2 linked regions of the Coturnix japonica genome follow. The protein of the gene in region 1 binds, or shares a complex with, the protein of each later gene. Links are inferred from orthologs where the notes say so. Each region holds a gene or a part of one and is shown on either strand. Other genes may lie near its edges.

Region 1 (5,678 bases):
GAAAACACCTGGAAGTGTGACAGATTTTTTTGCACGCTACATCAGATTGCGTTCATCTGGAGCCCAACAGAAAGCAGACCCCGACTGCCCTTAGAGACTTGCATAGAAAACACAAATTCTGCTCACTTTGCTTATCTAACATGCACTGCAGCACACTTTCCTGAGGCAGCGCTCATCTCTTCCTTGGTCCCCCCACAGCAAGGACTGCTTCCCCAGCATCCAGCCCCACAGCTGGGCAGGCGATGGACACAGCCCATCCCTGCCTTCCTCGGGTGAGCAGCATCCCGCAGCCACGCTCTGCGGGGGGGTCTCTGCCTTTGCCCTTGACGGGCTGGCGGTGGGAAGCGGCAGAATATGAATAGCTGCGTTTTAACACAACCTCTTCCTTATTCAGAGAACCTGGCAGACAGAAACCAGGTGGGCTCCCAGCGCAGTGGCACGGAGCCGTGCTGGCAGCAGATGGCAGCACCTGCACCTCCCGGGAGCCGCATCCGCGATTGGTGCCGTATTGCGAGCGGTTCCAGATGCCGGACGCGTGTCAGCAGAGATCTCCTCCTCCTGGTAAATGTGGAACAGCTGTTTGACCCCCAGCGAGCCCCTGGCCCAGAGCTGGCTGCCGCCTGCGGCACCGCGTGGAGAAGCTCAGCCTGCGGGCCCCACTGCTGCACAACCCAGCTGCATCCACGTGTGCTCTGTGTGCATTGTGGCAAAGGGGAGAGAAAGACTTGCTGAGCCAACAGCCAGGAAACAAGCAAGTGGCAAGACAGACCACAGCCAGTTCCTGTGAAAGCATTCCAGTACTCCTGAGTTTATGGTAACTTTCCATTAAGAATATCTGGTCTTTGAACAGCTTAGTTAGCAATGGCAAATGATGCTGCAGATAAGTACTTGAGAAGGTGATCCTAAGTTCCTTCCTTGTTTAGGAACTCGTAGGCTTTGGGAATTCACATTACATCAAAACCAAAAGCCCTACAGACTCATTGTGGTGTCCACATTCTCCGTTGCTCCTGCAGCCCTACCATCTGTCACTGTCCACTGACAAAACATCGGCATCCTGCCCTTCCTTCACTCTGCCCACACTGCCTCCAGCCCCACACACCCCAGTGCCCTGCAGCCCAGCACCATTCCTCCACAACTCGCTTCACTTGCTTCCTACATCTCTTACATACAAAAAATGACAAACAGAAAATTCTTGTCCAGATTTTGCTGATCCCCATAAGATCTGGAGATGAGAAGAGCCGAATGAGTGCAGAGCATTGTGAATCTCCTGGCAGGCAGGAATCCTACATACGTGTAACAAACACAAAATACTCAGGGAGGGATCAACAACAAGAAGATTTCATTTGGTTCTAATCTAATTTCTCACAAACATTAGAGCTCATTTCCATTTCAATCAAATCTGCTTGCATATTCCTTGTGCTCGCGACAATTTATGCTCATAAGTTCATACTGGGTAACCTAAAAGAAACAAACACATCTTGTTTGACTCGGTAACTGAAATGACAGTGAAATATTTTGGTCTTGAGCAGTATATGAATAAAGGGGGGAAAGGAGCGGTTGCATGCTTGTGGGCCTACAAACACTCCTCTTTGACAGTCAGAACAGAAAAAAAAAATAAATCAATGGAAAGAAAAGCTCTGTTTTGCTTATAGGAAAGGATGAGGCTCAGGGACTGATTTAGCTTCCTATTGTTTTCCCAGCAATGATTCCACATCCAGAAAAAGTACCGTAAGTCAAGGGAGGAAGAACACACTGTGCAAAGTTAAATCTTGCACTCCTGGGGTCTGTTCTGCAGTCTGGTAGGTTCACCCCCTCAGCACCAGGGACACAAGTACAAGCCTGGATTCACACATACACCTGATGGAGCATGAGGTGTTGCCATTGCACTCTTGGCTAGAGCTATTTATTCACATAAGGATGACAACTAAAAAGTTAATTCATGGCTTTGATTGAGCTCAGGACTTTATAAATATGACAGCATTGTCTCACTGAAGGCCAAACACAGCCCTTGTCCCTCCTGACTGCAAAGAGCTCAACACAGAACGACTCAAAGCCACCCGCCTGTTTGACTGCTTTAACAACAGGCACAAGCACCAACAGAACCGTAGCTCACACTGCAAGACACAGCCAGCATAGCTGATCTTTAAAAATGCATCTGGGTCAGTGGTTGCCTCAAGTAGAATAAACGGGCTGCATGAGTGAAACACCCTGCAGAAACATTACCCTGTGGACCCAACTCGTGCTGATGAGGACAAATGGGCCCTTTTAGAGAAGGATTTTTAAATGCGCAAAGTGATTTGGGAATACAAGTCCCAGAGGTTTCCCCGGTGCCTCAGGTGCACAACCTGCAGGCTCTGTCTAAAAAGTCTGCCCTTAAACTGTACTCAGCTTTGTAATGTTGAAACCCCTGGCGATACTCAGCAATTCATCTTGGCACACAGATAGCATCACTTAATCACGGATATTCAAATATCTATAATCATCAATTAGGCCTCCAAACATCTCAGCTGGCTAGAAAGAAATGGTTACCTTAATTATACACATTGAAATAAGCTACAGGTGGTAACAGAGAAGATGGGATTAATTGCAGTTACACGAGGAGTTACAGCCAGGCTGCCCAGCTCAGCGCCTCCATCCAGCCGCTCTCCCTCCCCTCACATCCCTGCAGCACAAGCAATGACCTTTTGCAAAGCCCAGCACACCTACATTCACACAGGTCACTCTTACTCACAGTAACGAAGCTACCTGTAAGCATCACCACGTATGTCTTTGCACTGCCAATTAAACAGAACTTGGTTGCAATTACCCCTACTAAGCGGCCTGTTCCGGCTCCGGGATCTGCTTCGCTGTCTCTGAAGTCGTGACCTCCGGAGCAGACGATAGTAGTAAGACGGTCTCCCAGAACTTTTCCTGCTGTTCATTGACATTTTTCTGTCTATTTTACACATGCACACATGCAGGCACAGGTTCACTCTCCCCTCTGGCAAAGTAGCAACAGTTCCAGCGTGTAATCAACAGGAGGTTGTTCTGTGCGGTGGAAAGGGAGAGGGGGGAAGAGGAACTCTTCACTTTACACATTTAAAAAGAAAAACAACAGGAAGAAAACATAAAAAAGACAGAGAGAAAAAAAAAATAAAGGAATGCGGCACCAGAGTACATGTCTCAGCAGAGGGAGGGCTTGAAGCAAGCAAGATAGACTGTACTAACAATTCCTGCCCCCAAAAAGATAAGCGCTTGTGCTGAAGTTGGAATAGGAAGCCAGAGTTGGCCTGGACTCTTGAAACATGAAGAAAAGGCTGGAAGAAATCCTGGACTGGATCATCCCCACTGGACAGCAGCATCCGACCGAGCAGCACTGGAGGAAAGCAACGCTTGCTGCAGGAGAGCAGCCGGGCAGCCCCTGCCTGCCAGCAGCTGCACGCTCCGGGATGGAGTGCCAGGCAGCCGGGCTGCAGCAGGAGGCAGCTATGGAATATGGGGCAGGAAGGGTATAACAATCTCCGGGCTATGGGACACATGTTAATAATCATCATGGAGCAAAAGCCCCGGAAAATAAAGTGAAATTTGAGAGGGGAAAACTTTAATTAGAACTTGAATGAACAGAGCTCCAGACTCCCCTGGAGGCCCATTTCCTTTCAACATTCAAACTGAGTTATAGCACATCCCATGAAATAGAGAAAGAGCCTATTTACCATTTGGGTTCTGATGGCAGTGAAGATTCTGTCTCCGGCTCATATTGCTCAATAAAATTACATTGCATTGGGCAGAATTAACGCTTTAAGCCATGGAAGAAAAGTGTAAAAGAAAACAGAATAACCAGACCAAAAAACTGACCTCCAGATTTAGTTTTGAAATGCCAGGTGAGAGGTAAATAGTCCATATTCCTTCACCAAAGCTCCTCTGTGGGCTGGCACAGATTGTGCCCTGCAGGACAAGCAGAGAGCACTGCAGAAACCCTGAGCCACAGCCAAGGACTGAGTGTGCTGCCACTCCTCATGGGTTGGCAGATAACAGAAAAATCTCTGATCAGAGTGGGGTGAACTGGAAAACATTTACACAACGCCTCTCTGTAGTGTGCCTTACTTCTGCTCTGCTTCCCAGACATTTGTGCAAACGTATCTCTGTGGTAGGACCAGGCAGGCTTGGCTGAGGATGAGCTGTGCTCCCTGCTTAGTTGGAGCTTCTGCAGGAGTCTGAAGGCTTTCCTGGGTTACACCGAGTTGTGCCTTCAGAAACAAGTAGCAGAAACCACCCGACCTTGGTTCCCTCGGTGTGACATCTCCTGTTAGTGCTTCATGTGGGAAACAAAAGGCCTTCTAGTTCTCCTAAGGACTGTCCCTTCCTTACCACCAGCAATCCACCCTACTTTCAGCATTTTGTACACTCACACAGTCATGAAAAACATTAGAACTTTACAAAACCTTTGTTGTCTTATTTACATATTATATAGGGAAAATATTGTGTTTATCAGTGGAGAAAGACCCTTTCGGGACAGGAAACAAGCCTCGGCCTTTAGTAAAGTCCATGCCTGGTTTTGAGGCCACACATAAGGAATTCAACAGCTTTTAGACTGTGCAGGAATGAGCCAATCACGGAAGCAATGACAAGTTCAGGTCAAGGAGGGAGCTCCAGCTGGACAGCAGAGGCTCCATCCCATGCTGCAGGGGGATGCTGCGTGGGGACATTGCTCTGCTTGCACCCAGCACCAGCTGTCACCCAGCCCCACAACACATCACAGCAAAAAGGAGAAGGCTTCGATTGCATGCACATCTGTTCTCACCTTGTTATCCAGAATGTTGGGGTTTAATTCATATTTGGGTAAATGAAAACACAAAAAACAATAAAGAAATGACAAAAAACTTTTCCCAAATGACCAGAGACTCATTCTGTACAGTTGATTTGGTTTGTAAATAGGGCCAAGAACAACTATAAGACAGTGATGGGAAAACCTGAAAATACTGAGGCTCAGTGACAGATCTGTTATAGACAAGAAGCCAAATGCTCACATCTCTCTCTGAATTTTGGTGTCCTAATGACTGAGCTGGTAGCTGAAAAGAAGCTTTTTCCTATTATGCTTTTATCATTAGAAATGTCCTTAAAAGAGCCGACCCACTTTATTTTTTACTCTATTTCCAAGAGAAAAAAAAAAAAAAAAGGCTCTGATGGAACTGAACGTTGAAACAAAACCATTTTAAAAGCTCATCCAAATTCAGACAGTCCAAAAGGGTGATGTCCACCCAGGTTGGTTTTGCCTAATTGGAACCACGTGGCTCATCCTCCAAGCACCTGGGATGCAGTGGGATGCAGAGCATCCATCCTCACCTCGGTGTGCAGGTAGGAATGATGAGGACATGCAGGATGGCGGCCCTGCTTTCAGTGCACATTCACTCACATGTTCTTAAGCATCTGTTCCACGTTTAGGGATATTTCTGTTAATCAACCGAGTACATTCAGAAATGTCCATGCAGGTGACCGTAAAACAGGAGAACTTAATGAGGGACTATAAACTACCATGACAAGAGAAATCAGCCCTTCAATAAAAGCATAAGCGGCTGGGAGTTTCGTTCAAGTTTAGCCAGCTTGCCTCTGTCTCTCACTTCAACCAAGTTTGTGAAGGTTTTAAGTTCAGATGCGGCATAGCAGCAGGCAACAAAATGAATGACCCGTCTGGGAGGGAA
Region 2 (4,878 bases), on another chromosome or scaffold:
GTAAGTGAGCTCCCTCCCAGCCTGCCTGCTGCCCGCTGTTCCTCAGTGCTGGCTGAGCTTTTTCTCATCCATTTTCTCAGACATTTGGCTCCACCGGTCAGATCCGTGGTCCCCTGGAGCCCCCCAAAATCCTCAAACCCTGGAGCTTGAGCTGCCTCCGTCCCGCTCCTCCCCTCCGACCATCGGCAGCGCTGAGTTACAAAGAGGTAATGCCGTGTGCCTGGTGAGCACTGTGATTCCTTAACACTTGTGTTCAGCCATCTTACCCCAGTGTGGGTTTGCTGCTCCTTTAGGCAACAGGGATGCTGAGAGAAAACGCTGTGCAAATGAGTGATGCATGCTGGTTGCTGCAGCTGGCTTTGAGCTGCAAGTGAAGCATGAGCGTGTGCATTTACAGGGTCAACCCCATCCCCGGTGTCAAGCCCACAGCTGCACTGAGGGACAGGTCTGGTGTTTTGTATGATTTATACCTATGTTTTGGTGGCCCGAGCAGAGCGGTGCAGCAGCCGTGATGTTTGACCCCATATTCACACACCCATCACCCTCTGGGATGTGTAGCATCCCCCGCAACAACCCCCAGCCTGAGGTAGGAGGCAGCATGGGGAAACCCAAAATAAACCCCTGCTCCCATTCTCACCCCCCACTGCAACTGCAGCATCGTCCTTCCCTACCTTGCATTAAACTTTTGGGATTACTCACCAGTAACGTGGCAACGTTCCTCTTACTGACTGAGCACTCCAGTTCTGAGTCACCGGCCTTTCTGGGTACGGCAGTATGGGAGCATCACTGCCTGGGCTCCCAGGAGGAGAGAGATGGGGATGGGGACAGGGCTCATGGGCAGCTCAGCCCCCCAGCACGCAGGGACAGCGCCCACAGGGCTGTGGGGCTACTGTTCCAGGCCGAGGTTTTGAGGTTGCTTCACTGTGTTTTGATATATTTCTTCAAATTCATGAAACAACGCATTTCACTTTGGGAATTAAATAGATCTGGAACCAAATGAATAGGTGGGAAACCACCCTTCAGCTTTGCATGTTCCAAATCTTTAATGTGGACTAAACAGCCTTGTGCTTGCACGGTGCACTGAAATCTAGGGAGAGACTTTAATTAGAGGAGAAATTTTTCCATATGAAAGTACAAGGGTGAGATCGATTTACAATAGAGGCCAAAACCACAGATTGAGTGATTTTGTTAATACCTCAATCTCCTTTGTGATTTCTCACTCATTCCCTGCCGTGGATCTTTTACACCATCAGTGTAAAGGAGGTGAGAGGTGCTGCCGGCAGCAGGGAGCCCCAAGGGGCTGCACACAGCACCTAGAAGGCCCAATAGTGTGGTGTGGATGGGAGCAGTGGTATCACAGCACCCCCAGCCTTCATGAGCCTTCATTTGCACTCACTGCTGCAGAGCCCTCTGATAGCAAAGAGCTTTTCCACCACCTCCAGGTGATAGCCCTGGGCATGCAGCCCATGGCCCTGCAGTGGCAATTGCAGTTATTGGTCCCAGATTAAACTGTAGCACAAAATGAGCGATGCTAACAGCCGAGCACAAGTCTCCTTGTTTTTACAATGAACAAATAGAACCATTTCAAGTGTCGCTTGCAGGGAAGAGCGTGGGGGAGTTTGATTAAAAGATGAGAGATTTTCAGACATCCATTGTTACTTTAATTGGCTTCTGGTGGTGTAGGATGGGATGGCACAGTCTTGTGCATTTCCTCATACCTAGCTGTGTTCAGGAAACCCCAGAACCTGCTTGCGTACTGCACAGCACCGCTGTTATTTCCATTGAAATTGGGTCATTTTTCCTGTTCTGTTTCCAGTAATCATTTGCAGTGACAGAGCAGGTGCTGTGAGTAAAGCAGTGTGCCCGGATTCAGGTTAGTTAGCGAAGTGAGAAAGGTTTACAGATGATTTCCATTTCGTTTCTTTCTTTTTGTCGGTTGCATTAGGTGAAGGGGTTTTTTAGCACTGGGATTTGTAACTTCTGCTGCTTGGAGCAGCAGGAAAGCCGAGCGGTGCCCTCTGAGAAGCCACAGCCCTGGGCTTTGCCATAGGTTGGGCAGAGCACTGCATCCCTTTATCCCCAGGCACCAGTCCTGTGGATGTCAGCCCATTTTAAGCACCATTCTCTTAAACAAGCAACATCTACTGAAACCTACCACTAACCCAGGAGGCATGCTCTCTCTATGGATGTCTTCGGAGTGGATTAATGCCTGCTTCCCATGAGTTTCCCATGTAACTCGGTCAGTTTTGCATGGCGCCGTTCTCTTTTGCATGCTGATAGCAGAAGCAGTGTGGAGGGTGTGATGAATTAATCGCAGCACTAACATTTAAATGTGTTTTAGAATTGTGGATTTAATGGACTCGGTCAGTAAAATCATCAGTCTCTCACACTCATCTTCTCTTTCTTTGCATATTCATTGTAGAGGATGTCTTATATCTTAAAGGTAAGGGTAGATCCATCTCTTTGGCTTGTCGTGGCAAAGGCTGCTTGGTGCTGTTCATGCTTCTTGTGCTTGCACAACCCTTGTTTTGCCTGGCTGTATCTATAACTTAACACGAGAGTCAGTGGCAACTGGCAAATGCTGGGAGATCTCTCAAGAAGGATTTAGGACCCTGCTACTAAAACTTCCTGGCATGCCTCATCGTTCCTTAAAACTGGAATTGCATGTAACCTATTAATGTACTAATTCCTAATCAGCAAGACGTGTAACTCAGTGAAGGAGACAAAGAGCTTGTGTTCCTTCCTAGCAGAGCCACAGCAAACACTAACTGTGCGTGTGCTTGTTTGTTCTCTGTGTATGTTGGGGGTTATTTGTACTCTCAAGCAAATGCGGTGCATTGAGAAGCAATGCTGTTTGCTATTTCTTCTTTTTATTAGAAATCAAGTTGTGTCAAGGAAATAAACAGTATTTTAAAGTTTTCTGACGGAGGCCACATTGCTGATAAGCAAACACAAAGTGCTGTGAATGTGGCTGAGTTCTTTGGCCAAAGGCTGTTAGCTGAGGGATATCTGCTAAAGGAGCGTGTCCTGTCCCAGACCTGCAGGTGCAATTAGGAAACGTTTCTACTCAGTGAGGTGATGGGGTCACCGTCCCTGGAGCTGCTCCAGAATTGTGGGGATGTGGCACTGAGGGACGTGGTGATGGGCATGGTGGGGTGGGCTGGGGTTGGACTTGGGGATCCTAGTGGTCTTTTCCAACCTGAATGATTCTATGAATTCCCACCTGTGTGAGAGGGAGCAGTGGACATGTGGGAAAAGCAAAGAACACCATTTCCCCCACCGCTGTCATTGTCTGCTTTGTAGTGCTGTAGTGCTTTGTGCGTAGCACCAATAGCTGCATCCAGCCTGAGCTGCTCTGCTGTTGGAGCTGCCTTTGGTGCTGGTTGAACACAACACTCTCTTTCCCTATAGGACTCCAGCAAAAGTCCAAAAACCATGAAGAAGTTTCTTCCAAAAAGGAAAACTGAGAGAAAAGCATCAGATGAAGAGTTTGTTATTAGGAAAAGTAAGTGCTGATTCTTGATCTTTTCTGAGGTTTGAGCTCAGCAATCTCCACAGGGCTTTGAGAAGGGCCTTTTTTCCCTTGCAGGATGCGGCTCAGCAGTGAGCCTGTGTGCTGCTGGGGCTCCAGCTGTGTGCAGACCCTGAGCTGGGGCCCCAAGCAGCACCATGTCCTTTCAGTGTGATTCCCACCATGAGGACACCTGGCTGCAGGTGGTTCATTGTGGCCACAAAGCCAAATTGCTGCTTGAAAGTAGTGAGATGCCGTTCTGACCCTGAGTTCCTCTAGGCAGCAAGAAGTGTGCCTTCACACCTTTCATGGTGTTTAGTGTCACAGGATGTTGCAAAGGCCAGAAAATGTGAAGGAGCTCAGAAAGGAATTAGGGAAAGTCCCAAGACTGTCAGTCAAGGAAACAACACCTTCATGCCCAAAGGCTGAACACAGAGATCTTGGCTTTTGCAGCAGCTGATGTGTGTGCTGTGTTCCAGGTACTGCTGCACTGGAGGAAGATGCTCAGATCCTGAAGGTGATCGAGGCGTACTGCACCGGGGCGGGCTTCCAGCAGGCACTCAGCTCAGGTGGGCACACAGCAGGTTCTTGAATGCTCCTCCTGCCTGTAGCGCTGATAACCCTCTGGGAAAAAAAACCCAGCTTGTTACATCAGTGAGCAGTGAGACTCATGTTAGGAAACTGTGTGGTGTTCAATCTTTGAGATAAGGGAGCTTCATCTGCTCAGTGGTTTAGTTGCCATTGTTTTTCTTCTAAACACAGAGAATGAGCAGATAGGAGGGCAGATGTGATGCAGCTACTTCACCAGCACTTGTTAGGAATTAAACAACCCTCGTCAGTGCCTGTGGCTGTCAGCACTGAAAACCTGATGCTAATCTCGGGTTGCATGTAGCTTTAGAAAGGAAGCATGAATATTATCTCTCCATCAGCTGCGTATTTAAAAACGAGCTGCTTCATAAGAACCTATCTACCATCTTCAACGCTGGAAATAAAAGTATTTATCACTGCTGGTAAGATGTCAAATTAAATCACTGAACTATCAAATTATGGCACGTTTGTGAAAGGGAGGTCGTGTTCTTCAGAGAGCTCCTGACCTTCCCCGAAGCACTTCATTTATAAGTAATGATGGAGCTGTGAGTGCTCTGGGTCTGGAAGCTGTCCCTCGCTGCTCTGGCCCAGCTGCACACCCAGCCCCTGCATCACCCTCCCAGCCCCTGCTGTGGGCTCCAGGAAAAATCTCCCTTTTTCTTCCTGATGAGCATTTCTTGCACACAGGCTCCCGAAAGGACTCCATCCCCCAAGTCCTTCTTCCCGAGGAGGAGAAAATCATCATTGAGGAAACGAGAAGCAATGGTCAGACTGTCACA

What was found.
Region 2: DAB2IP (region 1) and ARHGEF6 share a complex: the UniProt entries of both Homo sapiens proteins name them as parts of the cytoplasmic complex. The link is inferred for Coturnix japonica from reciprocal best matches to the Homo sapiens genes DAB2IP and ARHGEF6.

What each region holds. Positions count from the first base shown.
Region 1 is NC_029532.1:6,961,511-6,967,188, reverse strand, and holds the start of DAB2IP (disabled homolog 2-interacting protein), read right to left. Parts: upstream 3,231-5,678; 5' UTR 2,949-3,230; coding exon 2,807-2,948; intron 1-2,806. UniProt on the Homo sapiens protein: Functions as a scaffold protein implicated in the regulation of a large spectrum of both general and specialized signaling pathways.
Region 2 is NC_029519.1:4,237,834-4,242,711, reverse strand, and holds part of ARHGEF6 (rho guanine nucleotide exchange factor 6), read left to right. Parts: intron 1-80; coding exon 81-206; intron 207-2,422; coding exon 2,423-2,443; intron 2,444-3,411; coding exon 3,412-3,505; intron 3,506-3,990; coding exon 3,991-4,080; intron 4,081-4,786; coding exon 4,787-4,878. UniProt on the Homo sapiens protein: Acts as a RAC1 guanine nucleotide exchange factor (GEF).